3 linked regions of the Sus scrofa genome follow. The protein of the gene in region 2 purifies or fractionates together with the protein of the main gene of each other region. This does not show direct contact. Links are inferred from orthologs where the notes say so. Each region holds a gene or a part of one and is shown on either strand. Other genes may lie near its edges. The genes, in order: RAD23B, PSMD6 and PSME2.

Region 1 (11,143 bases), on a different chromosome or scaffold from region 2:
AATTCATAACAAATTTCCTTGTCATTCGACTAGAACGTTTAATAGGCACCTTAAATTTAAGTCTTCAGTTCCTACCCCCAACCCCTAACCTGCCCCTTTCCCACCCCTCCACATCTCACACAAACTATACAACCAAAATCCATATTTAATCTTTGATTTCTCAATTTTCCCCACTCCACCTCATCAAAAAATTATCTCAAAACAACAAGGTCCTACTGAACAGCACAGGAAACTATATCTAATCTCCTGGGATAGACCATGAAGGAAAAGAATATAGAAAATAATGTATATATATATGTATAACTGAGTCACTTTGCTATACAGCAGAAATTGGCACAATGCTGTAAATCAACTATAATAATAAAAAAAGATTTTTTCAACTCAACCTTCTCAACTATATCTCAAATCCTTTCACCTCTCTTCGCATTCTCACTCCTAGTTCCCTCCTCCAAGTTTCAACTCTTTTAAGACTACCACAACAAGCCTCCTAACTGGTCATCAAACTTCCAAAAGAGTCAAAGTAACCTTTTCAAATCATAAAAGAAACAATTTTTCTCCTCCACTTAAAGGCCCCAAAGGCTTCCTATTTTACCTTGAAAACTCCCAGCTTATTTACAAAACTCTACAGGCCCTGGCCCCTTGCCTAACTCTCTAATCTCTTACCTCTCCTCCCCCTCACCTACCAGATCAACAAAAGGCCTTTTCTGATTCCCAAAATACACTCTTAAAGGTCTTTCCCTATAGAAAACACTTTCCCTTTCTCTGAGTGCTTATTATTATTCAAAATCTCAGTTTAAATGTCACCTTATTTAGAAAGACCTTCTGTGACCAGTCATTAAGTAGCCACGCAGTCATGCACTATCACATTACCTCAACCCTATTTCGATTCCTACATAACTCTTACCATTACTTCGTTTTTAAAATTTGTTTTTCAACTGATTTAGTCCACTATAGTGCATGTACCAAGACAGCAAGACTTGACATTTTTAGGAAATATTTAACACTAAACAAATGAATCAACATGCAAATACTGAGGGATTACTGACTTGACAATTCACCAAGAGAATGTATTTAATTCATTCAAAAGATCTTTTTTTTTTTAACTTATTTTATTTTATTTTTTGCTTTTTTAGGGTGGCACCCTGGGGCATATGGAGGTTTCCAGGATAGGGGCTGAATCAGAGCTGTAGCCACGCCAGATCTGAGCTGCATCTGCAACCTACACCACAGCTCAAGGCAATGCCGGAACCTTAACCCACTGAGCGAGGCCAGGGACTGAATCTGAAATCTCATCGTTCCTAGTCAGATTTGTTACCGCTGAGCCATGACAAGCACTCCCAAGAAATCTTTATTAAATGCATGTGTAAGGATAAATTAGGAATTTGGAGTTGACATATACACACTATTATATATAAAATAATCAATAAGGACCTACTGTACAGCACATGGAAATCTACTCAACATTGTGTAATAACCTATATGGGAAAAGAATCTGAAATACATGTTTAGGTATAACTGAATCACTTTGTTGTACATTTGAAACTAACACAACACTTAACACTCAATTTATAAAATCAACTTATACTCCAATATAAATAAATTTTTTAAAAAATATCCATTTCTTATATTTGGTATAAGAGTTATAGCATAAGGACCTTACATCTGATTGCATAGCTGTGTACAACTAAGTAATATTATACTAAAAATAATTCAGAGGCGTTCCCGTTGCGGCTCAACAGTAATGACCCTGAAAATGAGGATGCGGGTTCAATCCCTGGCCTTGTTCAGTGGGTTAAGAATCCGGCATTGCCGTGAGCTGTGGTGTAGACTGCAGATGAGGCTTAGATCTGGTGTGGCTGTGGCGTAGGCCAGCAGCTGCATCTCCAATTCGACCCCTAGTCTGGAAACTTCCATATGCCATAGGTGCAACCCTAAAAAGAAAAGAAAGAAAAAAATTAAGCTGAAAATAAATAAAAATAAAGTAAGTGCCTGCTGTGTGCCGAGTATAGAAAAAACAAAAGTCTGGCACAAACTGTACCAGATTCCCCAGATACTTCTAGTATTTTGTTTCATCAATATGCCAAGAAACCTTAAATTTCACCTCTGTAATACAATGTTTCAATACATTTATTACTTAGTGTTTTAATAATCTAGGGCACTTCTATAATTTGGCACTATCTCCAGCCCAACTATATTAAAATACAATAAGCCGGAGTTCCCGTGGTGGCGCAGTGGTTAACGAATCTGACTAGGAAACATGAGGTTGCAGGTTCGAACCCTGGCCTTGCTCAGTGGGTTAAGGATCCGGCACTGCTGTGAGCTGTGGTGTAGGTCGAAGACGTGGCTCGGATCCCGCGTTGCTGTGGGTCTGGCGTAGGCCAATGGCTATAGCTCCGATTAGACCCCTAGCCTGGGAACCTCCATATGCCGCGGGAGCGGCCCAAGGAATGGCAAAAAAGACAAAAAAAAAAAAAAAAAAACCCAAAAAAACAATAAGCCACAATAGGAACAATTTGCTAATAAATGATGGCTAACAAATCCCATGCACAGAACCAGTACTCAACTGGTATTTTATAGCACAATCACCATGATACAAATAAACCACAGAATGAGGTAATTCTTTGCAAATTACTGTATAATACACAAAACGTACTGTCTGTATTAATTAAAACTACTGTATCCTCACAATTCTCTTATCAAAAAACGTCCACGCATAACTTTGATGTCATTTATACAATAATAAACTCCCATTTCAGTTTGTGCATTTAAAAATCTCATCTCAAACTTTCTATTGGTTTTTTTCCCTCATTATTTTCTAAGAAGAAAGGCATTACCATTACCATAATAATAAAGTCTGTTTTGTAATGGTTAACACTAAAGGCAGAGCATGGTAATGATCAAGTAAATGTTACAAAACAGCAAATAAATGTTAGGAAAGTTCTCTAGTTTTTAAAAAAAAAAGGCAGAAGAAGACTTTCAACATTCAAAAACTAAAGCAAATACAAACAAACACCTTAAAAACAAATCCTCTTGTTTTTTCCAATTTGTCCATCTCCTACTCTATAGCCACTGACCAAACTAAGACTATTGTCAGTATGGCTCCCAGGAAGACCCAGACCTCAGCCTGCATGTCCCTGTACCCCAGTTCTGCCAGTCAAAGCTCACTGGACACTTACTAGTTCAGCAAATTAATCATTCCCAGGATTCCTCAAATCTCTCGGGCCTCTCTTTCACTACTTTTCGCTACTGCTCCTATCAAGCTCACAAGAGTTTCTATACCAGCCTCTTCAAGTTATAGCCGCTTTTTAACTTTCATCCTTTAATGTATAAGTACACACTAAATAGTAAAGGAATATTCAGGAAGATTTGATTTGTTAGTCACAGCAATCCACAGGGAGTTTCTAATTACTTCTGAGGACAATGCATTTCTCATCTAAAATTGCTATCTCTCTGCACATTTAAGAATTTATCACACAGCATACTTATACATGTAATTAAATATCTTGAACTAAAATTAGCCACAATTCTGAAAAGGTTGAGAACTACACTATTTAAATATTTAAAGATGTAAAAACTTAAGGTCAAATGATATAGATAAAACGTAACACTCTATCCTCTTAAAGTTATCCATTGATTAATAAAATTTCACTCACTGACCACCAATCAAATACTATTTAATCTTCACATCTTTGCATATAGCAAATAAATTAGAGCGACAAATGGGAGCTCAGGTTTTCTTAATTAACACCAAGACCCCTAATCGCCACCAAAACCACAATCAACTATTCTTAAAAATATAGATAGGCAGAAAGTTGTTGCTTTAAACACAGCATTATGACAATCATAGCGATGTATATAATCACAATTCCAGAACATAAGTACTAAGTTTACACTGAACGGCATTTTTAGATCTTGGCATAAAGTCGTACTGATTTCAACACAGTGGCTTTCTGCAGTCACAAATACAGACGATGACAGGAGAGTTTTTAACACGTGAACTTTTGAGATGTTCAAGAGTTTACAGAAGAGAATCAAAGTTTTTATCTTCCTTTTTCCTCTCCTGAAATGCTATTTGTGGGTTGGGGGAGGGTGCAGAGTTCCAACTCCTACAAATTCAAGACTTCTAACAGAGGGGACTGGTTAATCTAGAGCTGAGTTCGAACCTGGATTTGAAGGGCTCTAATACAACTATCTTCACCACCAAAGAGGCCTCAAAGTGCAATCTACATGTGGGTGTGGGTTCGATGGCGGGAGACCTGCAGCGAAACGACTCAAAATATATGCAAATAAAAGCGCCCCCAATTCTGCGGGGAAGGGGGCAAAGAATGCATTTTCACCACTCACCTCTCGCTCTGCGGCAAACGGAACCTGACACTTTTTTTTTAAGGTTAATTATCGCCGGTCTGCACCTCCTAGACCTTAGCGCCTAACCAGATCCACGCAGAAATAGTGGCGACACCTAAATCTCCCTCCCCCACCTGTGCATCCACACCAGGGAGCTCGGCTAGACCGCTGAAGCAGCCCTAAGCTTCCCTCCCCCTCAAGCCCCTCTGCCGGGAGGGCCCAGGCCCAAGCCTCCGGTGCCCTGCAGGCATGTGCTCCACGCCGCCAGGGCTTCAGTTTCGGCCACTGCTTCCCCTTACTCCTGACACAAAGCCCAGAGCCAACTCCCAAGGTCCGGTCGGCCACACGCCGCAGGGCCCCGGGGCCCTGCCCGCGCCCGGGCCCGCAGGCCTCAGCCAGCGTCGGGGGCCCGAACCCCCGTTCACCGCGCCCTCTCGAGTACACCGGGGACCCTCCCAGCTCGGGCGCGCCGCCGGGCCCCGCTCTGATATAGGCCGGGACCCCACGAAAGGCCTCGCAGCGCCGACCTCCGCCTAGGCCTGGCTGGCCACTCGCGCAGCTGCCGCGTCCCGGGCCCCGCGCTCCCCGCTGCTCTCACCGTCTCCTCGGGGTCGATGTCGATCTTGAAGGTCTGCTGCTGGAGGGTCTTCAGGGTGATCTGCATGGTGCCGCCGCGCAGCTCCGCTGCCGGGCCTGCTCCGGGTGCTGGCCGCTGGGCGGGGTCTGTGGCCTGGCGGGGCCCTGGGGTCGCCCGCGCTCCTCGCGCACTCGGGAGGAAGGCGGTGGGGGTGGGGGCTTGTCACATTCGCCCTGCAGAGCGGCCTCTCCCCCAGCCCTGGTCCTGGGCCGCGCCGCTGCCTCCGCGACTGCGGCTTTCCTCGCGAGCTCGGGCTGCAGTGCTTCTTCACACGCCTGGCGCCAGCCTCAAGGTCTACAGGAGGTTCAAGGGGCTATGCGAAACCAGCAGAGAACCCGCTAGCTCACCACAGACTGGTGGCCGCCATCATCGTGACTCGCCGAGACGCGCCCCCTCCCCCACCCGAAAAACCTGGGGGATGGGGCCGCACTGTCGGAGCGCGCAGGCGTAGGGTGCGGCGAGCCTGTGCGCAGGCGCAGCCGAGAACTCCGCCCCGGAATTGGGGCGGGGCGGATTACGGCTCTGGAATGTCGGCGTCCTGGATCGCGCGTGCGCAGGCGTAGTCAGTGGGGCGCCTCGGGGGCTCTCGGGGCTTCCCTGTCGCGTCGGCTGCCGGGGGCGTTCTCCCGCCCTCCGCCGCTCCGCCTACGTCCAGACTCCGCCCGGTAGCTTGAGTTGGGCAATCTGTAGCCGAGGAAGCGCTACGTGGAGACCGGACTAAGTGGATGCAGAGCCCTGGAGCTGGGCAACTAGAGGGCGGTAGGTCAGGGCGGGGTTTAAATGAAACAGCCACAGTAGTGAGCCGGCGTTTACTGGGCGCTTGCTGTGTGGCCACTGATTCTATTATCCTGAGAGCGCTGACTTCAGCACCAGACTGCCTTGATGGACCTTGGGGCTAAATACAAGGTCAAATTATATCACTTCCCTGGGCAGAACTGTCCAGTGGGTACTCATCGCACCCAAAGTAAAAGTTCTTAGGACTGGATACACAGCCACTTCCTCGCATATATCCTGACTCTCATGGCAGATGCACTCAGCTGAGGGCCTGCCTTTTCGCTCGCTGTTTCCGTCCCTAAGTCTTCTTTCCCCAGGTACCTGGGTGGCTCACTGTCTCTCCCTTCTCGGGGAGGTCTGCTGTGGATACTCAACGTAAACCGCAATTTCCCTAACCACATTACCCTGCTGTGTGTTTTGTTTTGTTTTGTTTTTTTTCTATAGCATTTATCTTCTAATTACCATAAATGTAATATTTATTAGATTTATTATCTTTCTCTCTTCTGTAAACACAGACAAGCTGCACAAGGGCAAGGGTATTGTTATATTGCCTGATGTACCCCCAGCACGAAGAAACATGCCTGGCATGTAATGTAGGCACACAGTAAATATGTGTGGAATGGGTAAATATGCTTTCTGTTTCTCATCAGTAAGCTGAGAGTAATAACAGCACTCAGTTTCATTGATTATTGGAGAAGAGGTGTTGAACAATGTATACAGTAAAAATCTTAGTGGCAGGAACATAGTAAGCAGTTCATAAAGAGATAGCTATTTGTAGTATGCCCATTTACAGATAAGAAAACTTAAGTGTAGTACCCGGAATCACCCACCTGGTGAGTGGCGGGTCCAGAATTTGAACCCAAGCCGAATGACTCCAGACCCTGGGCTCCTAAGTGCCTGGCTGTTCTGCCTCTTAATAAAGTGCCATCTTGCATATTTGACTTAAAGTAGTTCAAGTGTAAAGTTACAATTAAGTCACTAGCTGTGTGACTAATTGCAAAGGACCTCTCTGGAGCAGCATCTTCACTGATACAATGTCATTGATTGGTTTTCTGTAGATTGTAAGAGCTCAGGTATAATTCTTCCATGGAACTTTGCCTGATCAACTTCCCTCTCCTTCAGCTGTCCCACTGCCCCCTTCACAACACGTATCTCCCTGTGTTATAATTCCATATCTAAACCTTGGCTTTCCGTCTTCCTGTATATCTACTGTTAATCACCAGGTGATCTCATCACGTCCTTTGTTTTGAAATACTTCCAGCCTGGACCTTTAGCTATAGATAGAATTAGCCAATTGCCTACGTAATATCTTTACTTGAAATATAATGGAGTTCTTGCTGTGGCACAGCAGCTGTGGCTATAGCAGCTTGGATTGCTGAAGAGGTATGGGTTCTATCCCCAGCCCAGCGCAGTGGGTTAAAGGATCTGGCAGTTGCTGCAGGTGTGGCATAGGGCACAGTTGCTCAGATTCAGCCCATGGCCCAGGAACTTCCATATGCTGCAGGTGTGGCCATTAAAAAAAGAAGAAATATAATAAACCTCCGAAACTTGACACGGCCAAGCAGCACCATTGATTCCTTCTGGACCTCCCTTCCCCCCCTGAAATCTCTCCCAGTTTTACCCCTTCCTAATTCATGGCACCACCATCCACCCAGGTGCTCAGACCAAAAATCTAGTCATCATCCCTGATAAATTTCTTCCTTCCTTTCCTCCTACCACCCCTGACCACCACATCTAATCCATTATCAAGTCCTGTCAACTTTATTCTCCAAATTATATCCCCAGATCAACCATTTCTCACCATTTCTACTTCCACAACCCTAGGTTAATCCATTGTTATCTTCCACCTGCCTCCCAACTGGCCTCCCCACTTCTACACTTTGAACCTCTCCAGCAGTCAGAGTGGTCTTTTTTCAAATATAAATCAAAGCATGTCGCATCTATTCCTAATACCTAATTATACTCTGAGAATAAAATTTGAATTCTTTACCTGGCCTAGGGGAGCTCACATGATCTGACTCTTGCCAAACCCTTTGGCCTCATCTCTTCTCTCTCTCTCTCATTCCCTGTCATCCCACCTTCCTTTCATCCCTTGAACAGGCCAAGATGGTTCTAGTCTCTGGGCCTTTGCAGTAGAGGTTACTTCAGCTTGAAACTGCCTTCTCAAATCTTTAAACCACTAACTCCTTTTCATTATTCAGGGCCCCAGTCATGTTTTCCTTCCTCAGAGAGGACTTCTTCCACAACTTTTTAAAAAAATTATTGGAGTATAGTTGATTTATAATGTTGTGTCAATTTCAAGCATACAGCAAAATGATTCAATTATATATATGCACATATCCATTCTTTGTCAGATTCTTTTCCCATGTGGATTATTAAGTAAAGTTCCCTGTGCTATTCAGTAGGTCCTTGTTGGTCATTTATATATAGTAGTATGTATATATTAATCCCAAACTCCTAATTTATCCCTCCCCCCATGTTTCCTATTTGGTAACCGTAAATTTGTTTTTGCGATCTGTGAGTTTGTTTTGTAAATAAGTTCATTTGTATCATTTTTAATTAGATTCCACATATAAGTAATATTGTATGATATTTGTCTTTCTCTCATTTACTTTTCTTAGTATGATAAGCTTTAGATCCATCCATGTTGCTCCAACAACATTAACAGTATATAGTAAATATACATTAACCCTTTACTCTAGTGCTAGGTAAGTCACCATTGTAGGCCCTTTCCATGGATAATCTCATTTAAGCCCCAGAGAACTCTTCAAGATAGCTACAACGGTGCCCTGGTTTAGATTTTTTCTTGGATCTAACTGAAAGTATTATTAAATATTTTCTTTTTTTATGGCCACACCTATGGCATATGGAAGTTCCCTGCCTAGGGGTTGAATCAGAGCTGCAGCTGCAGGTCCACATCCACAGCCACAGCAACACCAGATCCCAGCCATATCTGTAACCTAGGCCACAGGTTATAGCAACGCCAGATCCTTAACCCACTGAGTGAAGTCAGGGATTGAACCCATATCCTCATGGAGACTATGTCTGGTTCTTAACCTGTTGAGCCACAGTGGGAACTCCACAATTACTATTTTTTATTTTCTTGGTTCAATAGTATATGTTCTATGGGCTGTATGCCTCCTTGTCTAATGTAAGTGCCTTTGCCCAGAATCCCACAGTTCACATGACAGATGTTAGGACTCCCTCAACCCCCCAACACAATGGCCACTGGGGTAAGGTTGGTTATGAGCAAGGCTCTGTAGGATAAGCCTTGGGCTTCTTCAGGAGCTTTTGGGCCAAGACTAAAAGATGGGAGGGAGTTGTTGATTCCAAATATTTGCTATCAAGCCAGAGAATTTTGCTTGCATTTTTGGAAATCAGTCAAATGATTTCAGGGAAGAAGATGAGCAAGCAGAAGGGCAGCAAGTGCTGACTTAGAAAATACCAGGGTAAAAATGGCAGACTTCAAGACATGCATTCATCAAATAGTTTTTGAGACCCTCTCCACTCCAGGGACTGTTCTGGGTGCTGAGGATACAGTAGGGAACATAGTCCCTGCCCTCATAGAGTGTATATTCCAGTGAGATAATAGACATACAAATAATAAACTAAAAATCAAAGCTCTTTATATATGGGTTGCTAATAAGTGCTATTTTTTAAAGCCTACGAAGATCAGTAGCGCTCAGAAGAAATAGAGTTGCTACAGAGAATGTGCTAGGTATCTTTGATTCCCCTCCCTATCTTCTTTCTTACCGCTTCACCACCCAGCAGTTGGTCTCATGAAGGCTTCCCTGTGTGGACTACGCAGTTGGCTTCCTGGGGAGTCCTGGAGGAGATAGGAGTGAGGGAGGAGAGTGAAGATACGGAATGTATTCCTCTTTGTGTTTGGCAGTGCTCTTGATACAGGGTCTTTGCTTCTGTGTCTGGGCTTTCCAAGCAATCCTCTCCTTCCAGGTTCTGGCACCTACTCCCCACCTTGCCCCTTCCCTCGAGGAGGGCCTTTACTTCTCACTCCAGGGTGCTGCACTGTGTTTGTAGTTTCCCTTTATGCTTCCCTCCATCATTGTGAAGAGTCCATTTATTGCATCTCCCTGGATTAGTTTCATGGAACTGCCGAAACAATGTACCAGAAACTGAGTGGCTGAAAACAATTGAAATGTATTGTCTCACAGTTCTGGGGGCTAGAAGTCCAAAATCAGGGTGCTGGGAGTGCAGTGCTCTCTCTGACACCTATCACAGGGAATTCTTCCTTGCTTCTTCCTAGCTTCTGGTGCTTTGCTGACATCATTGGCATTCCTTGGCCTGCCGTGCCACCTCAATCTGTCTCCATCATCACATGATGTTCTCTTGTATGTCTGTCCCTCTGTGTCTCTTCTTAAAAGGAAACATGTAGAATAAGATAAACTCTGTTGTTTCTTCTCTGCTCACCACTCTATTACTACTCTCAATATTTTACTTCTAGCCACCAAGTAATTCTCCACTTCTTTGCAGACACCAGCTAAGTGTCCTATAGTTCAATTCAGTTCTGACACTACCTGGAGTTAGCATCTGATCCCACAGGTTAAGGGCTCAGTCCCACAAGACTTCCCCCACTTTAGAGGCCAATTGCAAGTCCCAACTTGTCACCTGTACTTCAGACTCACCGGCTATAAACTGGGTTTCCACAACCCCCTTCTTAGGTTTGATCATTTGCTAGAACAGTTCACAGAACTCCAGGAAACATGTTTATGTAGTAAAGGATATGATAAAGATACTGGTGAACAACCAGATGGAAAGATACATGGTGGTCTAAGTGTCCAGTTGCAGGAGCTGTGGAGTTGGAGTGCCCCACCCTCCCAGCAAGTGGATGTGTTCACCAACCCAGAAACTCTCCCAAATCCATACTTAGGGAATTTTTATGGAAGCTTCATCATACAGGCATGATCAGTTATCAACTGAATTTCTAGCCTCTTCCTCTTCTCTGAAGAATAGGGGATTGGGCTGAGAGTTATAACCTTCCGATCATGGCTCAGCCTTTCAGGTGACCAGCTCCCATCCAGGAGCCCACCAAGAGCCACCCCTCACTGCAACAAAAGACATTCCTATTACTCAGGAAATTCCAAGATATTTGGGTGTTCTGTATCAGATACTGCTATCATTCAGGAGGTTAGAAGAATTTTGGAGAGCCCTGTGTCACAGCTAGAAAGAACTAGGGGCAGAGACATGTGTGTATCTTAGGATTTCATATCAGTCATTTTGGACTAAGGACTTACTCTACTCCTGTATAGCTTAATTTGACTAATTGCATCTTTAATGAACCTGATTCTAAGTAAGGTCACATTCTGAGGTACTGGGGGTTAGGTTCTCAGCATATCTTTTGGAGCAACCCAATTCAACCTGTAACAATAC
Region 2 (9,226 bases):
TCGAACCAAAACCTCATGGTTCCTAGTTGGATTTGTTAACCACTGAGCCACAACAGGAACTCCAGTATTTGTATTCTAAAAAATTGATCTAAAGCTATTCTCTTATAAAGGAAACATTACCAAAATTTGACATGCTTATAAATATTTATCTCACTGGATAAATGTGATACATAATTAAACCTTATTAAGAAATTGGCATTATTGCCTTAAAAAGTAGTCTCAAAATTGTTCATGCCAGTGACTTAATTTCATACTTGGATAGTGTATTATGGGTAAGACTAGGATTGATAAAAGTGATGAGTTTCCAATTTTGATAAAAACATTTACCAATATTGAAGAGACTTAAACACAAAGTGTTTTAACACTTGATCACTTAGCATATAAAACTTATTTGACAAACTTATTTTCATATCGTGATAACCTGAAAGGGTTATCATGATATGAAAACCAGACCAAAACCAGAAAATGAAGTCAAGACCTTAATGATCTGGATGAATTTCCCTGGGTGGTTAATGGAGGCTGTTGCCCATTACCCCAGATGTACATGTCAGGGTAGCACCAGAGAGTAAACCCAAATGCTGGTGGGGCGGATAGTGGAAGGTAACAGGGCAGGTCTGGTGAACAGGACCCTGCTGGAGGAGACCTGCTAGCCATTTGGCTGGACTGGAAATGTGAGCCCAGAATTAACCTGATCTGCCCATTTTTCCAGAGAAGCTAGACAGTTGGTGATTTTTGAATTGCCTTTTAATTTTTGAATGGCAATCAAATTTTTTCCTTAAAAAAATGTGGGTGGGCAATAGTTGCAGCCCGTAAGTGATCAGTTTGCAACTTGGTAGTATCAGGAAGCCTCCATGCTTTGGTTTCCTGAGTCTTATAATCTCAACTGCAAGAAATAAAGGCCTGGACCTAAAAAACTACCTGGTCAAAAAGCAGAGAACCAAACTTTGAAATTAGCATTCTAAGTAGTCTTACTATATACCAAACACAAGTGGAAAAACATAAACTCAATGAGATTAAATTAAAAAAAAAATTCTAAAAATTCTTGGTCTCTTGTATAAAATGTGGTTTTGATGGCCCAATATTAATTTTATGTAACAATAGTTTTCTACCAACATTCATACTACTGTACTAAGAAATACATGTTTTAGTATATACTGCTTTACAACTTGCAGTGTGTTCATATAAAGAAACCTCCTAATCAGCCTGATTTTCTCCTTGGGTTTACAGGTGAGGAAATGGGCTGAAAGAGGTCATTTCTCCCAGTATCAGGTGGCTAGTTTGAGGAGAGCTGGGATCAGAATTTGCTTTTCCTAGCTGCAGTATCCACTGCTGTTCCTCCTATACAGTATGGCCTCATTAAAAAAAGAGCATGAGCATGTTATTTTTCAGATAAAAGGAAAAACTCTCTCACCTCAGAATTGTATTGTTTATTTCATCATAAGGTAATGATGAATAAACAAGATAAGGCAGATCTTTATCTGCAGTCTTGGAGTTTTTGGTTTCCCTATCTTGCTCTGGGAATGAATAGTATCTCTTGTTTCTTTCGGCATCTCTTACCTGCCATCCTCATCTACTGATTGGGGTGGTGGTGGAGGTGGTGCTAAAATGGCAAAAAAGAAAATCAAGTACATTTTAAGCCAGGAAGGGGGAAAACTAAGGTGTCTGTGATTTCGCTCTCCTCCAGGCCAACAGTCCATGTAACTCTGGACTGAAAAGCCATGGCTCTGGTATGATCACCTCAGCCCAGATGGTTCTATAGGTGGGACTTGAGGAAAAGGGTTATTTCAAGAAACTGGCATTTCAATCCTGCTTTTCCCCTCTAGCATGAACTGCAATGAGAGAACTTGCCAAAAACAGAATCCTACTAATTTTTAATTGGGCAGAAGGAACACCGTAAGTTCTTAATGACCATATGTTGGATTTAACAGATAGCACTGATTTTCAGGGTTGTATGTTTTGTTAAAAAATACTTATATCCCCAGTGTCTTCAAGAAATTACAGTGATTATGGTTCATAAGGTTTGTTTATTTGTCTTTTTAGGGCTGTACCCCTAGCATATGGAAGTTCCCAGGCTAGGGGTCGGGATGGAGTTGTAGCCATCGGCCTAAACCACAGCCACAGCAACACGGGATCTGAGCCACGTCTGCAACCTACACCCATAGCTCATGGCAACGCCAGATCCTTAACCCACTAAGCGAGGCCAGGGATCAAATCCCATCCTCGTGGATACTAGCCAGGTTCATTACCACTGAGCCATGATGGGAACTCTCAATCAGGTTTTGAAATTACATTTTTACAAATCCATCCAGCATTTTAATAGCCTCTGACCCACCCCACAGCACCTGCAGAGGAGCAGTCAGTGGCTCCTCTTTGAGTACAAAATTGATGATCGCCAATATCTTGATATTTAAGGCAATGCTTCTCATACTTTGCCGTTACGGATGACATTTGTAAGAGGGCTTTGATTTCCTATCCTGTTATTACTTGTATTTACTTAAGTTTGAAACAAATGAATGCTGAATGTCTCCAATTTGACAAATTACAGATCCACTGAGATCATGTGTTTTCTCCTCTAATGTGTAACGAAACACTGCCATCAGCATGTGAACCTGCTCTCTAAAAAAGCATCAAAACCTCATGCTTCTCTCCCTTTCCTTTTACAGTAAAATGCCTCCTCCCATTTCTTTTTAATTCAGCTCGAGCCAGACTGCTCTTGCCAGGATGACCATTCAGCAAGCCTGGGATCCTCCTCCAGCAAATCCAGCTGCCTCTAGGGTTCATTCCACCGTTATCCAACGCCTATCCAGCTCAGGTCCATGATGACACTTAAAATCAGGCCATTCCTCTGCTGCCAACCTCCAGGGACTTTTCTCTTTCCTCCCCTAGATAATTTTCTGCATGATCTCACCCTCCTTTTTATTTAAATATCTCCTTACCAGAAAGGCCTTCTGTGACACTGATACAGAGCTCTTCACACCCTGTATCACTTTGTCACCTATATCCAGCTTTGTATTTCTTTTTTCATAGCAGCTGTCCCAATCTGACCACATTTATAATTGGGAAAAAGATTCCCTTTGCCAATATCTATATAGGTTTTTTTAAAAAGCTATATTTAGTAAGATTGGCTTTGGCAGATTCTAGAGTCTTAGGTTATGGTATCCTTCTAAAAAGGAGTAACTTCCAGTCTTTTATAGGTACTTATTTCTGAGGGAAAGCTTCTGATACATTTCATTTCTCACCTTTTAAGTACTAAGCACTGTTTTTAATTATGGGCTTCTACTCTGTAGCATTTTTCTCTTCTTTTTTTACCCAAGGCACATGGAAGTTTCTAGGCCAGGGATCTCAGCAGTGACAATGCTGGATCCTTAACCCACTGAGCCACCATGGACCTCCATCTTCTGTTTAAAGGTAAGAAACAATAGGCTTGTCTTAGCCTATTACACTGAAGAGGCAGGGTCAGGATTTAAGCTGTAGTACTGTAGTCTCTATAAGCATTGTATCATAAAGCAGAGATGTTCAAATGACAGAAAAGTGACATAATTTTAACATTACTAGGGTATATATATGCTTAAGAGAAAAGTAAACTGAAAGAAACAACAATGCAGTATTTATTTTATACAGCTGAACTGGGCACATAGTAAAGTAAGCTATAAAAATTCCAAATAATTACTCTAAAGGAAATTCTTTGTGAACGTGGTTTTACATGTTAATTACTCTGGAAAGTTTCTGAACTCTGTTTAATAGCAGATCTCCTTTCTTGATAGTTTCTTGGTACTGCCAGTTCTTGCTATCAGGTCTATAAATAAATTCAAGAAAAAAAAATGAATTATTTACCAGTCACATTACTTCATAACAATAGTTGACCTACTTATAAAAGAATGCCTTCTTTTAACAACGTCCTTTATTCTGAGGAGTATTACAAATGATACACAAGCAAGAATACCTGTTAGTTTCCACTATTTCATTCACTTTATCTATTTTGCAGTGTAGCCTCCCAGCAGCAATAAATCTGGAGAGTTCCCTAGTTGAGGGAGAAGGAAAAAAAAGCCTTTAGCATTAGTCTTATAGAGACTCTTGGAAAAATAAACTGCAGTAAACACATGACTCAGTTGTCTTTCAAGATAACATGTTGCTGCGTACTGCTTGAGAAAATGAGCTCTGGTATACTGCAGGACTATCTCATCTACAAGAGCAGGTAACTCAATGTTCAAAATCCTTCAGAGAATAGAGTGAAACAAGCTTTCAAATTAAGACAAGTAATATGCCCCAATAAATTAGGGTTAGGAATTCAAACCTGATGTATTCCTCTGAGGTAGATGTGAAAATACATTACTGAGTATCTATTCCAGCCACAACCCAAATCCTAAACAACACAGTTACACATCCACCTCAACCACAGCACTGGTGTGAAACTCTGTCTAGCACACTGTGGCATGGGGCAAAAAGTTAAAAACCTAGAAATGTATGAGAGCTATATGAAGACAATTTTCTAATGCTACCAAGGAGAATAAATGCAAAGTCGACTCCGTTAAAATAAAAATGTATTATGTTAAATTTAGAGAATAATATAAGGGAATCCTCCTAATCAAGAAAAATCAGATTGCAAATAAAAATTATGTGACAGATTACTCTCCTAAAACATCTTGATCCTAGCACATAAACACCAAAGAAAAAGGAACTCCAAATCTTAAGAAGCAAACTCCTAACAAAGATGCCATTTCAAGTCAACAGGGAAAGGTTGGCTCAGAATGGTATTTAGGGATCCTAATTATGACAGATCTCAGAAACCATGTTAAGAACAGAAAACAGTAAACCAAGATCATATCCAAAACTAAATGAAAATGTAGATAAAAGATATCTGCAGTATGTAGTTGCCACTGGTCAGTCAGTGTGTAAAGGTCCCACCGTGCCTTTAAATAAAATACTATTGCAAATAACTACTTTAATAAATTAAATATTATTGAAGATTTTAAGCTAGAGGTTATCTTAAACTAGTAAGAACAGTAAGTTACATGTTCATAGAGCATGCTTTATTTCTGTATCCTCATTAGAAATATATTTGCTGCAATTGCTACAATGTTCATTCCTTCTTTTAACTATTAGTTTTTGAGTTATGTTATTGACTGGCTTAAGTAAAAATTAAAAATTGTTTCTGTTTTCCAGGTACTTAAAATAGTTGTATCTCCAAACTACAGTTACTAAACCCATTTGCACCTGTTATTCTGGGACTAAAGTACACAGAGAAAATGACACAGTCAGATAGATATAATCAACCTTATCAGTCCTACCCCCTATCTAAGAACAGGGGAGAACCCTCCAAAGAATCTTATTTTATCATTTAGGAGCAAGATATAGAGATCAACACTGGACTTGACTCACCAGATTAGTTCAGCCCTTCACTTACTCCCTAGCCTATTAGAAGAGACTCTAAAGTTTTAAACTCCTTTAAGACACTGCTTTAGATGCACCATGGTGTCTTTCCAGGCTTAACCCTGGGGACCTCCCTGTACACACCACCACACAGGCCAGTACAACCAAGTAATGGTTTTTCAAACATCCCCCTAAAATATATCTGTGCCATTTCTTCCATCAGCAATGTCCTTTTTCCCCACCACAGCCTATAAAAATCCTAAGTATGCAGTGATAGTCCAAATTTTCTGATCCCTAGTTCTACTCATTCTGAACCATGTGCATGCACCAAGAAAAATCTGGATATGGTTTCGTATCTAGTTACCACAGCAAAGTTTAACTCCTAACACCCTAAACTGGCACCCAAGTCCCATTCCCTGCTTTAGACCCATCTTGCTGTGTGCTAATCAAACACATCCCAGGAGGACTCATCTTCACCAGCTACTGGTATTTCTCCAGGTCCCCAGTGTGGTCCCTTAGAAACAGGTGTCCAATTACAATGAACGGAGTACTTGCTGAATAAACAAAATCTAAAAATCAGATCTGCACCCTAAGTTTCAAAAAAAGGCCTACCAACAAATCACAAAATACAGTCCATGTCAACAGAAGTGGGAGTCTTTTCTCCAACAATATCTTCCTGAGTCGAAGTGGAAGAATGATAAACAACTCTTGTTCAAACTTATTAAATCAGCCCATTAAAAAAAAAAAAAAAAACTCACCTTAAATCATTTTATAAAGGAAGAAAAAGAATCCATGAAAACCCAGAAAGGAATCAGGAATACCAGAAATTTAAAAGCCCTTTTTAGGTAAAAAACAACTAATGCTCAGTGTGTACTCATAACCTCCACCCCTACAGCTGGTCTGAGAACATGCAAGAAAAAAAACTGTAACATTTCAAATACCACCTGAAATGTATCATAAACCATCATTTCCAGTGTCATCACAATGACATAAATGAATACTGCGGCCTCTCTAACAGATACCTCCTGCTTCAGTTCATTTTTATCCACAATTTCAGCAGAGCTTCAATCTGCCCCAAGTGGTCAAGGCTTCAGCACCACACAGCACAGCTAAGAAAGTGAGGAAGGGATGAACCTGACTAGGGCTGCAGAGTTGCAGTAAGAAGCCAGACCAGCCCCTATTTTTCTGGTGTTGTTCACCATGGTAAGCCACTCATTACACCCCTGCATGAAAAACCCATTTCTACAGTCCTCCACTCTATCCAGTGGTCACCAAACTTATTTTCACAGACTACTTCAATTCAGAAATCAAATAAGATGAAACCAACCTAAGAATACTAACCTTCTATTTCGGTATGGCTAATAAATAGAAACCACCATCACTACCTTTTTTCTTCCAAAGAAAGAGAATGAAGCAATTTCTTGCCCGATAGTTTGGGTATACCTAAGAACTGGGCATTTTGCTAAATGTAAATATTGCCTTAAAACCAACCCATAAATAAATATTGATAAGCATGCTCAGTGTGGCAGGATGAAATGTACTGGTGTCTGAAAGTTACTCTGAAGTAGTTATAAATAGGATGGATAAGTGATAAAGCAACTTTAACAAAATGTTAATTATAGAATCAAGGATATATGTATAATTCTTTACAATTTTTCTGCATGTTTGAAATTTTTCAGAATAAAATATTAGAGAAAAATGTCTAAAGGAGCATGGTGTTTCAAAATGAAATGCAATTTCATTAAAAACTCCTCTCTAGCCACCACTTTTTTCATTGTGGGCCACTGGATACAACATCCATTGTTTGGGAATGACTTGTCTAGATACCATCTGAACAGCTTCTCTTCTGAATGTACTTCTCCCCAACTCAACACCCACTATCATAGTCCAAGACGCCAGAACATCTCCAAGGGCTACTGAATAGCCCATCCGGTGTCCCTGTCCCCTTGGCCATGTAAGACACTATGAAATCATGGTACCCCCAGGCTTAAAATCCTCCAGTGGCTTCCCAGGGCACCTAGATTAAAACTCAGGCTCCACACCACGACCCGCCGGGTCCTACACAAACACTCACCTACCTGACTCTCCCTCAGCCACCCCTCTACCCCTGAGACCACTATGCTGCAGCTACGAATGTCTCTGTGCCATTCTGCTATCTCTGCAAACTCACTTCTGTGTGAAATGACTTAAACACTTGCTTCCTTGTCTACTTTCCCCATAACTAGAATGAAACTCTGTGAAGACAAGAGACCTGAAACATGCCAACCATATAGTAACGGCTTACTACCTATGTAATGAATCACTGATTCACAGTCGGAGAGTTCCATTTTTAACAATCAGCTTGCTTAGAATTGCAGCAGCAACCAAAAAATTGAAGGCACTGTCAGAGAAAATAAGACCTAATATGAAATACAAGATAGAGAGCTAAGGGGCATTACTATAGTAGTAGCATGGATCACAAAGATGCACCAGAGATGACTTCTGCTCTGGTTGTTGGCAAAAGTAGCCTCTGTTCCATCTCTGCTACTGTAGTAGCAAAGTAGAAGCAAATCATGAAAACAAAAATACAATTGTTTTGATAATATTTAAAGAAAAATTCTTAAGAGTGCCTTTAATTGAAGACAGCAATGTAAACGGAGAAAATGTACAAGTTCACACATTAAATCTAAGTGTAAAAATTAACACGACGTTACTGAAACTTACTGATCAATGAACTCCACACCAACACCAAAGGCTTCTGCCATGTAGCCAAGGGTTAATGACCTGTATGATTCCAGCAGCTGGCTGTAGGCATGAATCCTCATTTCTCTTACATAGTATCGATAATGAGGAGCAAAAAGCCAGTCCTTTTTCATTTCCTGTTCCACAACAGCTGCAATTTAAAAGATGATAAATTATTATAAGAATATCCCTTTCAATAAACAGGTGAGCTGGAGGGCAGATACATAAGAATTAAAAGCCTTGGTCTACAAAAGGTACACAGACTATTATGCACACAATGCACACAAGTCCAAATTATTTTACCAAGTACTATATATCACCACTCTTGAATCATGAGGATATGGCAGGAAACCAAAAGACAAGATCCCTGCCACCACAGCCACTAAATTTTCAAAGAGCAAAGATAAATGAACAAATAAGATACTATCTGGGAATAGTTCTGTGAAGAAAATAAAATTGTGATAGAGACTGGTCAGGAAGCCTTCCCCTGGATTGGGGTGGACAGGGAAGGCTCCTCTGCAGAACCAGCCATGTAGAGATGAGGATGCTTAGAGTGATGCAAAGATTCAAGGCAGGAAGACCAGGCCTAGCTCAAGAATAGAGGACAGATTCAGAATGTAGCACTAGACAGCTATGGGGATAAAGAAGGTAACCAAGACAAAAGATGTTTTCTGGCTTGAACAAGATAAAAACCCCTGGAGAAAGAAAACTTTTGTTTCTGAGATTTGTTTCTATATTTGCAGGAGAGGGAGGGATTCAAATATTACACTTTGGCAGTGTTCCGGTGGACTATCCTATGAGACATCCATGTGAAGCCATCAAGGAGATGTTTAGGCATGGGGTCTGGTACTCCCGGGCATGTCTGGGGCTGGAGACGTGAATTTGGTAATCACCAACATCCATGTGTATTTGATGATGGAATGGAGAGAGAGAGAAGGGTCATGACCAAGCCTGGGCCAGTTAGTCACTAGGAGGCCTAACTAAGGATGAGGCAGTAGGTCTGAAGAAAACAAAGATGTGTTGTAATTCAAGAGAACAAAGTTGGGGCAAGAAGAAAAGGATGGTCAACATTCAAGCAGAGGAGGATGAGTAAGGGAACACAGACTATAGATGACTGGAACAGGATAGAAAGCCC
Region 3 (11,091 bases), on a different chromosome or scaffold from region 2:
TCCGCCCAGCGATTTTCAAGGCCAGGGGCCCAGGGCTGTGTAGAGGGAAGATCAGAGTCGTGAGGAGCCTACTGTGGATAGACCCCATCCGTCAGAGCTGGGCCTCCCAGGTCCCATAGATGTGGTTGCAGCAATGGCGTTTCCCTGTAGCTGGCCTGGGGGGTATCAGGCTTACTTGATGCTTCACGCTTAACTGCCCAAAGCTTGAGTGCTGTGGAAAATAGGTGCTCGGATACTGCTGGTGAGAGTGGAAATCTAAGATAGTCTTTTCTGGAGAGTAAGTTGGTATAACCAACCAAATTTATACTGTATACTATATATATGCTGACCCAGAAATTCTACTTATTAAAGAATTTACTGTAATAATAGGACAGTGTCTATAATAACGAAAAACTGGAAACAACCTCAATGTTTAATGTAAGGCATTAAATAAATTATGGTACATCGGAGTTCCCGTCGTGGCGCAGTGGTTAACGAATCCGACTAGGAGCCATGAGGCTGTGGGTTCGATTCCTGCCCTTGCTCAGTGGGTAAAAGGATCTGGCGTTGCCGTGAGCTGTGGTGTAGGTTGCAGATGCGGCTCGGATCTCGCGTTGCTGTTGTTCTGGTGTGTAGACTGGTGACTACAGCTCCAATTCGACCCCTAGCCTGGGAACCTCCATATGCCGAGGGAGCGGCTCAAGAAAAACACAAAAAGACAAAAAAAAAAAAAAAAAAAAGTTATGGTACATCCATACTGATGCTGTATAGCTGTTACGGTAAGGTAGATAATAGTGTAATGATGGAAAGGTGTCAGATATTTATTAAGGAGGAAAAAGCAAATTACAAAACAGTATCAGTTGATCCAGATACATGAGTACTATGTAAGTAGATAACTTTTTCTACATACAGCTGACTGGTGAACAACGAAGGGGTTAGGAGCAGAGACCCTCCTGCAGTTGAAAATCTGCAGGTAACTTTATAGTGGTCCCTCCATTACAGATTCTGCATGGGTATTCAACCAACTGTTTCACCTATTAAGGTCCGCAGGCAGCTCAAACCCATCTTGTTCAATGATCAACTGTATATATAAAAAAACTTTCTTTTTTAAAAAGTTGCTGCTTGGGTTTCCTTTGTGTTTTTTCAGCACTTGTGGGGGGGGTGCATCTCAGTTAAAGCAGGTGTCAGCCTGTTCTTACTGAAACGTAGTTGTCCTCCCCACCCCCAGGGAAACATGTTTCCTTACATTTCCTCACTGCAGTACCAGCCTAGTGCCTGATGTACAGTGCCTACTCCTAAGCTTTTGATGAAGGAAAAATGGAGAGAATGACTAAGAAGGGTTCTCTTGACTCCCCCACCCCATAACCCTTAGCCTTCTGCCTCTGGCACTCACCTCTGGTCGTCCAAAGCTGCATTGGCATGGTAGTACCCTGCCACTACCAGCCCGGCCTGCGCGCCCCACACATCCACCTGCCATGGGAAAGGGACCATCAGTAACTAAATCGTACCGCCCGCCCCGTGGGTGCGCACTATTGCCAAGAGGCCAGGGATGGGCTTAGGGCTGTTAGGGGCTGGTTAGGGTGGTAGGTGGGCGTCCAGCGGCGGCACCTGGTTGAGGGCGACCTCCAGCATGACAGACAAGGCCAGGTGGCTGTGGAACAGGGGGACACAGTCGGTGAGGCACAGGCATTCTCCCGACCGCGGCGCGGGCGCCAGCAATAGCCCGTTGACAGCGGCATGCGGGTAGCGGGCGGCGTGCAGACACATCTTCACGTAGGCCCGGGCGGAGATCTCCACCTCCCCCATGGCGAGCGGGGCCCCCAGCTCTCGTCCGCGAAGCCCCCTCCAACGCCCGAGGGCCCTCTTGGGCCCTTCCCCGTGCCTCCTCACTTAGGTTCGACAGTGGCGCTGACCCAGCTCAAAGACAGCCCACCGGCTCCCGCCGATCTCAGCCTGGCGACCGGCCCCCACCTGGCCCGGAAGGCGGGCGGCCTGGATTGCATGCTGCAGCACCGAGCTCCGCCTCCCCCCGCCCCCAAGTGGCGGCCACAGAGAAGAGCTTGCCTCGGGGACACGGAACCTGCGCCTCCAAGCCTGACCAGCTTCTGGAGTCCCGCCCACGTAATGATCTTTGATAGGTTTAGAGTGTCTCGTTTTGCCCAATCACCAACCGCATCCAATCTTGCCCCGCCTTTGTCTCCGGCGGCTGAAAAAGAACCCACAACGGTAGAGAGCTTCCCTCAAGCTGATTGGCTAGGCTACCCCACTTCGGCTCCGGATTGCAGGATGACTGCGTCTGTTATCTCTGCCGCCCGCCCCTACAGGCCCAGCTGGGTGGAGCCCGCGTCCCGCGTCGGGTGTCTTTGGAACCGTGGAACTTCGAACCAATGTGAGTACACAGGGGACGCCTGACTCCTACTATAGAATGAATGGGTTTGTGCTCTAGGGCGGCTCTGCCACTAACTAATGAGCCATGTTACTTTTGCAATCACAGGTTATCGGGCCGTTGGTTTCCTCAGTGTAATATCTACAGAAATAAAAACGGCTTTGACTGCAAGCGGGGGTAAAGGTCAAAAAGATTTTTATAGACCCATCCTTCCGATAATGTCCTGTGGTATAATTTCCTTAAGCCAAAATGTTTTGGGAGCGTTTTTTTCCCCTCCCAGCTCTTGAGAAGGAACCCAAGCATAATTTTCCCCGGGGAAGCCTCATTCTCTCTTCAGGCTTGCTCTGAGCTGATGGCAAGGGTGGTTTCTTTCTTCATTCCCTGATCTCAGCCGCAGAGCTTTCCCTCTATCTGTCCAAAGTCTGATTATTCCTATAAGGTTCTGCCCAAATGCCGCCTCTTTCAGGAAGAACTCATGAGACCTTCCACATGGAAAAAATCTTGTGAAATCCCCAAATACAGATTATCTTCATGGCTGTCAGGCCATGTAACTGTTATTTAGGATAACTTCTTAAGAACAGGATGGACCTCTTAACTCATCTCTGTCTTCCTGGCACCCCTCCCTTTCCCATCATCGCATTCACATTTAGTAGCTGGACAGAGGTGACACTTTGCTTTCTTTTTTTATTCGTCTTTTTGTTCTTTTAGGACCGCACCCACGGCACATGGAGGTTCCCAGGCTAGGGGTCCAATTGGCATTGTAGCCGTCGGCCTACACCAGAGCCACTGCAATGCGGGATCTGAGCCATGTCTGCAACCTACACCACAGCTCACAGGCAACCCCGGATCCTTAACCCACTGAGCGAGGCCAGCGATTGAACTCACAACCTCATGGTTCTTAGTTGGATTCGTTAACCACTGAGCCATGACGGGAACTCCCACTTTGCTTTCTGAATAAATGACACACACCAGAGGTGATCCACACAAAGTACAGGTCATTTATTTCCCTTACAACCCTGGGCTCAGTACATTGATGGCTTTTCTTCACCCTTTGGGTTGACAATTTTCTCCAGGTTGCTGCTGATAATATGGTAAAGCTCAGCCTGGAAGAAAGCCAGAGGGCAACAGTCAGGTTCCTGGCCTTTCCTTTGCCCCCTCATCCACCTCCCTTAGGGGCTTACTCCAGACTCACATAGAAGGCCCTCAGGTCCAGCACCATGGCCCTGAGCTCCCCATGGGCTGCCTCATCTCGTTCGTGCACCAGGGCCCGGTAATCCATCTGGGATGTGGGAGGCAAAGCTGAGTCAGCCCCATGGGAGGTTGGGACATTCATCTGGTTTCCTCATATAGGGAATAGGTAACTTGAGGAATGAGCCCCTTCTCAGCACCAGGAAATGGGATCCCACAAGATCCAGCAGAGAAAGGAGGTAAAGTTTTTGAAGCCCAAGTTTGGGGCAATGGTTTTGGCTTAATATTCTCCACATTGGGAAGGTCACAGACAAAACAAGGAGGACCATTGTGCCCTCTTCCTCATCCCACCCCCAGCCAGTCTCCAATAACAGGCTGGTGGACTATCCACTCACTACATGGGTCTCCTTGGAGGCCTTGGCCACAGCATCCCCACGTTCTGAGAAGTACCTGCCGAAAGCAAGGGGAGTAACCATAGGAGTGGGTGTTCAGAGAGAGATAGTCCCTCAGACCCTTCCCAAGGCCCCCCATTATCCCGATGGGCATGTCCCGCTTTGGGAGTCCCCACAGAATGTCCTTGCAGACCCCTGTGCTGGCCCTCCAGCTGCCCTCACTTGGAAATGGTGGTCTGGAAGGCTTCTACTTTGGTCTTGACTGCATTTACCCTCTCCAGCACCTTTTCCTGTGGTGACAAAAGAGATGGGAGGCAAAGAAAACACTTCATCTTGTCCCTTTTTCACTCACTGTCTACCTCCTCCTCGCAGTTCATATCTAGTCTCTATCCCTTACTCCCCAAGACTCTTCCTGCTCTCAGCATCCTCACAGACCCTTTCTCACCTGGACTGCCACCCCAAAGTCATTTCCATCCTCAATTTTGGGGATCAGGTGCTGGATCCATGTGATCACCTACAATAAGAGCTATCATGTAAGAATCATTCAACAAAATTCTGTTCTTAGTACGGTTACTTCCTAAAAATAGCTACATTTAACTGAGTACTTATTATTTGACAGGCACTGTGCTATGTATTATATATCTCATTTAATCTTCACGGCAACCTTTCAGGCTTGTACCCATTTAAACAGATGAAAATGCTGAGTCACAGAATGTCTAAGTGACTTACTTAAGGTAACCAATTAGGTAAGTGATAGAGTCAGGATTCGAATGAAGGCAGTCTCCCTCTAGGGTCCAAGCTCTTAAACCAACTCACTGTATCAGAGCACCTGCACTGTGTACCTGCTACAGCAGTAGGTTCTGAGGTTATGGAGGGGGATGCAACACAGTTTGATTTAGAGGGTACCACTGTAATATCAGAGGTCTAGCAGAACAAGGAGAGCAAAAGTTATCTAAACACAAGGCACAGAAGGAAGCTCCCTATTTTGAGAATAGGTTCCTAAAGGAAGGACTTGGAACTCTGAAGGAGATCAAGGCATGGCCTTGCTTGTCTTCTCTTTCTATGTCCCCCAGTTTCCCAAGCTTACCAGAATGCATTTTTCTTTGAGAGTCCAGACTTCTGGCTTAACCAGGCCAAGCAAGGCCAGGATCTTCTCGTTCCCAGGGAGAAAGCCACACTTAGGGACTGTGAGAAAGAGGAGATTTAGATCCCTTCACATCCAGCAATCAGTGTGCCATTTCTCTTTCCCTAACCTCCCCCCTTCCCCTCTTACCTTCTTTCTTCTCCTGCTTATCTGTTTCCATCTAAGGAGAAAAGGGGGGAAGAAACTTTAGAAAAGTCATGGAGGTTGGCAGACCATTATGTACAGTGGATTTATAGCCCAAGCCCTATGCCCTAAGTGCCTCACCTCATCATCCTTGGGTGGGGGGTCTGGGATGGGGATGTCCAGCGGGGCCCGGAGAGAAGTGAGGTCGGTCACGTTGAGGGAGTCCTCCTGCACAGAGCTCACTGTCAGGGACTGCCCAGCCTCTTCCCGTCCTCCTGAGTCACAGCCTTCCCCCACACACATCGTACCCACCCTCCTCCTCCCAACCTAGGCTGAGGCTTGGCACTATCCTAATGTTCCCAGTCCACTACTCGCAACTCTTCTCTGCAGTTGGAGCCCAGCTGTTAGCTAGAGAGAGTGGATGGAGAGGAGAGGGGCCATGGGTTGGGACAGAAGAGGTTCACTCTACTCACTTGCAAGAGCTGACTCAGGTATATGATTTTCTGAGGCAAAAATCTGTAGAGGAATTCCTCAGCCTGCGGGTTATGTTTCAAGGGTAAGAATCACAGAAGACACTCAGTGAGAAGTCTGAGGAGTGGGACTGGAAGGGCCCTTGGAAATCTTTGAATCCAATACTTACAAATGAGGAAACTGAATCCCTGAAAAGTGAAGGGAGCAAGCTGGGAAGTGGTAGAACCAAGGTTAGAACTGTGGTATTCCCGCTTTGGGGCTACAGCTTTTCCCTTCACACCGAAAGATGGGAGAGGAAGTGGCATAAGTGGGGAAGGTATTAAGAGGGGTCAAAGTAAAAGAAGAGATTAGTAACTAGGAGCTTATCTTGGGTGAAGGTTGATAAGGGAAGTAGGGCCTGGGTCGAGGGTGGGTTTAGGGGTCTGGGAAGTTGCAATGCTCAGGAATTGGTCTGAGATTCTGCGTCAAATCACTTGAATCCAGAAGACTTACCTCCTGGAAAAGATTTTGCCTGAAGACATCCACCTGCAGAGAGAGCAGTACCCGGATGTTGGTTAAGGGTCTCACTTGCCCACAGTAAGACCCCACCCCCAACAGGATGCCCTCCAACTTGGCTCAGGCCTTTCCCACTACAAGCCACATTTCCCTGGAAGCCCCTGCCCAAGGTAGAGACTGCTCAGAGGGCAGGAATCTGGGACTCTCGGGACAGAAGTGAAAGCACTTAGGGAGGTTGGGGGATTTCTCTGGCACGGCCTTGGTCCCCTGGAGCACCCAGTTTGGCTTCCATTCGGGAGGGCTTTTGGACCCTTCCTGGCCTCCCGGTTCCCCATACCTGTTTGCGGGCTTCCCCGCTCAGGCGCACCCCACAAGGCTTGGCCATGCTGCTCCAGTTGCTGCTAGATCTCCGGTCTCCCCGCTCGCAGCCTGGGCTTTCGCTTTCACTCCCCACGTCCAGGCCCGCCCCCCTCAACCCCGCCCCCTTCCTTCTTTTCCCCCTCCCCCTGGAAGGCAGCAAACTGTTGGGAGCCCCTCTGCCATTCTCGGCCTGTGCGACTAGGAGAGGCGGTGCTGACTTGGTCACAAGCCCAGGGGCTGTCCAGGGGAGGGGCTAGGACAAGTTGGACCGCGGAGACTGAACAGGGGCTGTCCCTTGGAGAAGGGGCGGGGCTTATGGGGGGGAAGAACATCAAGGGGATGTCCAGGTTTGGGGTGAGAGGGTGGAAGAGTGGGAAAGGGGGTGTTTAGTGGTGGGGCTCCCCTAGGAAGGCTCGACTGAGGGGAGGGGCCTGAGAGAGATCAGAGTCGGGTAGGAGAAGTAGTAGGCGGGAGAAGGGATAGCAGGATATGGAAGGGAACAGGCGGGTCTTCCTCCCGGAGGACGCCCTGTCTTCAAGACCGACTGGAAAAGGGACTTGTGTAGGGTTCAGGCTGGCAGAGTTGAGTTCCTGAGTGGGATTTCCCCTGTGGGGTTCGGGTAGAGAGAAGGGCTTTGAGGGAAATAAAATAACACCGAACCTGGGGCTATACACAGGGGTTGGCACCGGACTGGACCAAGGTAGGGAAGAGCGCTAGAACAAGGTTTAAAGCCTAGAAGCTCTGAGGGAGGAGCCAGTGACTATTTACCATTCTCATTGGCTGAGGCTTGTTGGCCACGCCCCGGTCTCCTGGGCCCCGCCCCTCCTTAAGTTTAAACCCCTCCCCTTCCCCTGAAACTGGGTCGCAATCCCGCCCTCTTCCCTAGTACTTCCTGTTCCCGCTAATCCTGGCGTGGGGCCCGAGGCCCAAGAGTGACCGTGGCCTGAGTGACTTAGGGTTCCCGTGCCGACCGTGTCGCTCCGCGAAGCCAGACCCCAGGTGCTCGGGGCGGCTCTCGGGCCGCGCCCAACCTGCTCTGGGTTCCGGCGGGCAGCGGACTGGGGCAGACTCCTGTCTTAGGATGCCTAGGGAGGAGGAGGAGCGAGCCTTCCTGGAGGCCCGCGAGGAGCTGGCGAACGCCCTGAGGAGGGATTCCGGGCAGGCGTTTTCGGTGGAGCAGCTTCGGCCACTACTGGTCACCTCTCTGCCGCCAGCAGCCCGCTACTTGCAGCTGAACGCTGCACGCCTGGTCCGCTGCAACGCTCATGGGGAGGTGAGGCCCAGCCCCGCCTAGGAGGGGGACAGGGGAGCAGAGGTCCGGTCGGGGCTCACAGCTCTCTGCTCTCTGACTGCTCTCAGCCCCGAAACTACCTCAGCACCCTCTCCACGGCCCTGAACATCCTGGAGAAATATGGCCGCAACCTTCTCAGTCCTCAGCGGCCCCGGTACTGGCGCGGGGTCAAGTTTAATAACCCTGTCTTTCGCAGTACGGTGGATGCTGTGCAGGTGAAGCCTCTGGGCCCCTTATGGGGGAAGGGGACTTAACCTGGGCTGGGGGTTGGCTAGAAAGGCCCTGAGGCTGTGCTGAATGGGGAGAGGTCCAGCCCTATTGGGAAGGGGGCCTGCTGGCCCTGACTAGTTTGAATGTGTGGCAGGGGGGCCGGGATGTTCTGCGATTATATGGCTACACAGAGGAGCAGCCAGATGGATTAAGCTTCCCTGAGGGGCAGGAGGAACCAGATGAGCACCAAGTTGCCACAGTCACACTGGAAGTACTGCTGCTCCGGACAGAGCTCAGTCTTCTGTTACAGGTGAGGTATCTTTAGTCCCGAGTACTTAAATTAAGCACCAGGGCTGGTGAGCCCAGCCTAACAACAAAGATAGTCTGGGGACCCCCATGCTGCTGAACCATGGGCATAGTCCCCATAGTGACTTGGGAACTCCTTGTACTTTTCACCTTGTAAATGTTGGGGGGTCAAGGCTTTGAGGGAGGGCCTTGCTCTGGGGCTGTAGGTGGAAACTCTTCTTATCTCGTCTGCAGAATACTCATCCAAAACCTCAAGCACTGGAGCAGCTGCTGAAAGACAAGGTTGAAGATGATGTAAGGAAGGCAGGAATGGGGCCCTGGGTGAACAAAGGGGACCTCCTGTGGGCCTGTATCCCCAAGCCCTTGCTCATTCCCTGCCATTTTTCCTCAGATATTGCAGCTCTCAGAGTTTGCCCCCTTACTGAGACAGATTGCTCCTGGCCCCCTCACCACACCCTCTGCCCCAGGTATTACTGTCCTCAACTGGGGGGAGGGAGTGCTAGTAGATCATACTGATGGAAGTTTCCTCTATTTTCTTGGTTCTCTATCTTCTTCCTTTCTTTTTAGAAAGAGATTATAGTTTCCTTGGGTTGAAAAGATATGCTGAAAAGTAGTCTGTGATTTGTCCCCCCGTAGAGTCAGGTGTAACCTGGTCTTTTTCAGAAGGGTGTTCCATTCCCTTTTTTTTCTTTTTTTTTCTTTCTTTCTTTTTTTTTTTTTTTAAATGGCTGCACCTGCAACCTATGGACATCCCCAGGCCAGGGATTGAATCTGAGCTACAGCTGTGAGCCATGGCACAGATGCAGCCACACCAGATCTAACCTGCTGCCCCAGGCCAGGGATTGAACTTGCACCTCCACAGCAACCTGAGCCACTGCAGTCATGTTCTTAACCCACTGTGCCACAGCGAGAACTCCGAGTTGTTTTCTTTCTTTCTTGACCTCCAGGCTCCACACCTGGTCCCTGCTTCCTCTGCGGTTCTGCTCCAGGCACACTGCACTGCTCATCCTGTAAACAGGCCTTGTGCCCAACTTGCGATTGTCTCTTCCATGGACACCCAGACCGAGCACATCACCTCCGCCAGACCTTGCCAGGGGTCCCCCAGGCTACCCACCTGACCCCCAGGTGAGAGGCTTTCTCTTCTGTGTGGGAGCAAAATTGAGGAAACTTAAAATTACTTGACTATTGGAGTTCCCATCATGGCTCAGCAGAAATGAATCTGGCTAGTATCTATGAGGACACAGGTTCGATCTCTGGCCTCGCTCAGTGGGTTAAGGATCCCGAGTTGCCATCAGCTGTGGTGTAGGTCGCAAACACAACTCGGATCTGGCATTGCTGTGGCGTAGGCTGGCAGCTGCAGCTCTGATTAAACCCCTAGCCTAGGAACCTCCATTTGCCATGGGTGCAGCCCTAAAAGAAAAAAAATTATTTGACTGTGTGCTGGATCCTATGCTAAAGACTGTTTCATAGAGGGCAAACAGCCAGTTACTGCCCTCCAGAAGATCGTAGACATACATAACAAGCAAGTAGCAGTCACAGCAAGATAGATTATTATGGTATGCAAGTAGATTATTATGGAGAATGCAGCCCAGTCAGAAGGATCACCTCAGTCAGTGGGCAGTGTTTTAAGCACTTAGGAGGGATCAGACCCTATGTTAGGAATATTTGCAGCCAGATATGAACTTTAAGGTGTCTTTTAAATGTTAAACAGGCTGTGGGTAGGGGAGTGTTCCAGACAGTGAGAACACGTGCAAAGGCCAGAGCCATGTGTTGTACTGCAGGGAATGAGGGATGCCCATGGGTAAGGGGCCCAGGCCACAGGTGGGCCCCCCTCAGCAGGCCACGTCTGCTTTTCCATTACAGCTTACCTGCCTCGGCTCCACCACGGCCTCAGTCAGCCTCCCTGCTGGCCCTGGGGGACAGCTCTCTTTCTTCCCCTGATCCTGCAAGTGCCTGTCTGCCCTGGCACTGTTCTGCCTGTGCCATGCTAAATGAACCTTGGGCAGTACTATGTGTGGCCTGTGATCGGCCCCGCGGCTGTAAGGGGTTGGGGCTGGGGGTTGACGGCCCCCAAGGAGCTGGGGGCCTAGAACCTGAGCTTGCACGGGGTCACTGGGCCTGCCAGAGCTGCACCTTTGAAAACGAGGCAGCAGCTGTGCTATGTGCCATATGTGAGCGACCTCGGCTGGCTCAGCCTCCTAGCTTGGTGGTGGATTCTCAGGATTCCGGCATTTGCCTGCAGCCCCTTCAGGTAACCTGTTCCTGGCTTTCCCAGCTATTTATTTACACCCGTTACCACAGGCCATTGTCTACTTTTTCATCCCCTGTTTTCCTTTAGTTACCCGGTATCTTCCCCCCAGCTTCCTGTATTTCTGTCTTGAGCCTTAGCCAGACTTCAATGGAATAATTCTTTCTGCCTTCCCAGCAGGGGCAGACTTTGCTCTCCTCTGCCCAGACTCCCGTGTGGTACTGTATTCACTGTACCTTCTGCAACTCGGGCCCTGGCTGGGTGTGTGCCATGTGCAACCGGACCAGCAGCCCCATCCCAGTAAAGCACAGCCCTCGGCCCCATGCCAGCTCTTTGGAAGAGCGACTCCCTGAAGCAGGGCCTGTACGCCGCCTCAGTGGCCCCCTCCCCAGTTCCTGTGGGGACCTTGAGAAGCAGCGCCAAGACAAGATGCGAGAGGAAGGTCTCCAGCTGGTGATCAAGATCCGGGTGAGGATTTGGGCCTGGGCTGAGCTAGTG

Evidence for each region.
Region 1: the proteins of PSMD6 (region 2) and RAD23B purify together in Homo sapiens (affinity purification with mass spectrometry; 3 studies listed by BioGRID and IntAct, with this or other methods). This does not show direct contact. The link is inferred for Sus scrofa from reciprocal best matches to the Homo sapiens genes PSMD6 and RAD23B.
Region 3: the proteins of PSMD6 (region 2) and PSME2 purify together in Homo sapiens (affinity purification with western blotting; 3 studies listed by BioGRID and IntAct, with this or other methods). This does not show direct contact. The link is inferred for Sus scrofa from reciprocal best matches to the Homo sapiens genes PSMD6 and PSME2.

What each region holds. Positions count from the first base shown.
Region 1 is NC_010443.5:248,442,481-248,453,623, reverse strand, and holds the start of RAD23B (UV excision repair protein RAD23 homolog B), read right to left. Parts: upstream 5,634-11,143; 5' UTR 5,009-5,633; coding exon 4,943-5,008; intron 1-4,942. UniProt on the Homo sapiens protein: Multiubiquitin chain receptor involved in modulation of proteasomal degradation. Binds to polyubiquitin chains.
Region 2 is NC_010455.5:45,502,749-45,511,974, forward strand, and holds the end of PSMD6 (26S proteasome non-ATPase regulatory subunit 6), read right to left. Parts: exon of another isoform or gene 8,835-9,226; intron 8,243-8,834; coding exon 8,074-8,242; intron 7,178-8,073; exon of another isoform or gene 4,022-7,177; coding exon 3,944-4,021; exon of another isoform or gene 3,797-3,943; coding exon 3,700-3,796; 3' UTR 3,586-3,699; downstream 1-3,585.
Region 3 is NC_010449.5:75,150,121-75,161,211, reverse strand, and holds PSME2 (proteasome activator complex subunit 2), read right to left. Parts: upstream 6,643-11,091; 5' UTR 6,564-6,642; coding exon 6,516-6,563; intron 6,209-6,515; coding exon 6,176-6,208; intron 5,749-6,175; coding exon of another isoform or gene 5,686-5,748; intron 5,441-5,685; coding exon 5,354-5,440; intron 5,250-5,353; coding exon 5,219-5,249; intron 5,131-5,218; coding exon 5,033-5,130; intron 4,460-5,032; coding exon 4,391-4,459; intron 4,236-4,390; coding exon 4,168-4,235; intron 4,004-4,167; coding exon 3,949-4,003; intron 3,645-3,948; coding exon 3,558-3,644; intron 3,469-3,557; coding exon 3,388-3,468; 3' UTR 3,341-3,387; downstream 1-3,340. Other genes in the region: EMC9 (ER membrane protein complex subunit 9), read right to left, coding at 1-35, 1,373-1,449, 1,588-1,785. UniProt on the Homo sapiens protein: Implicated in immunoproteasome assembly and required for efficient antigen processing. The PA28 activator complex enhances the generation of class I binding peptides by altering the cleavage pattern of the proteasome.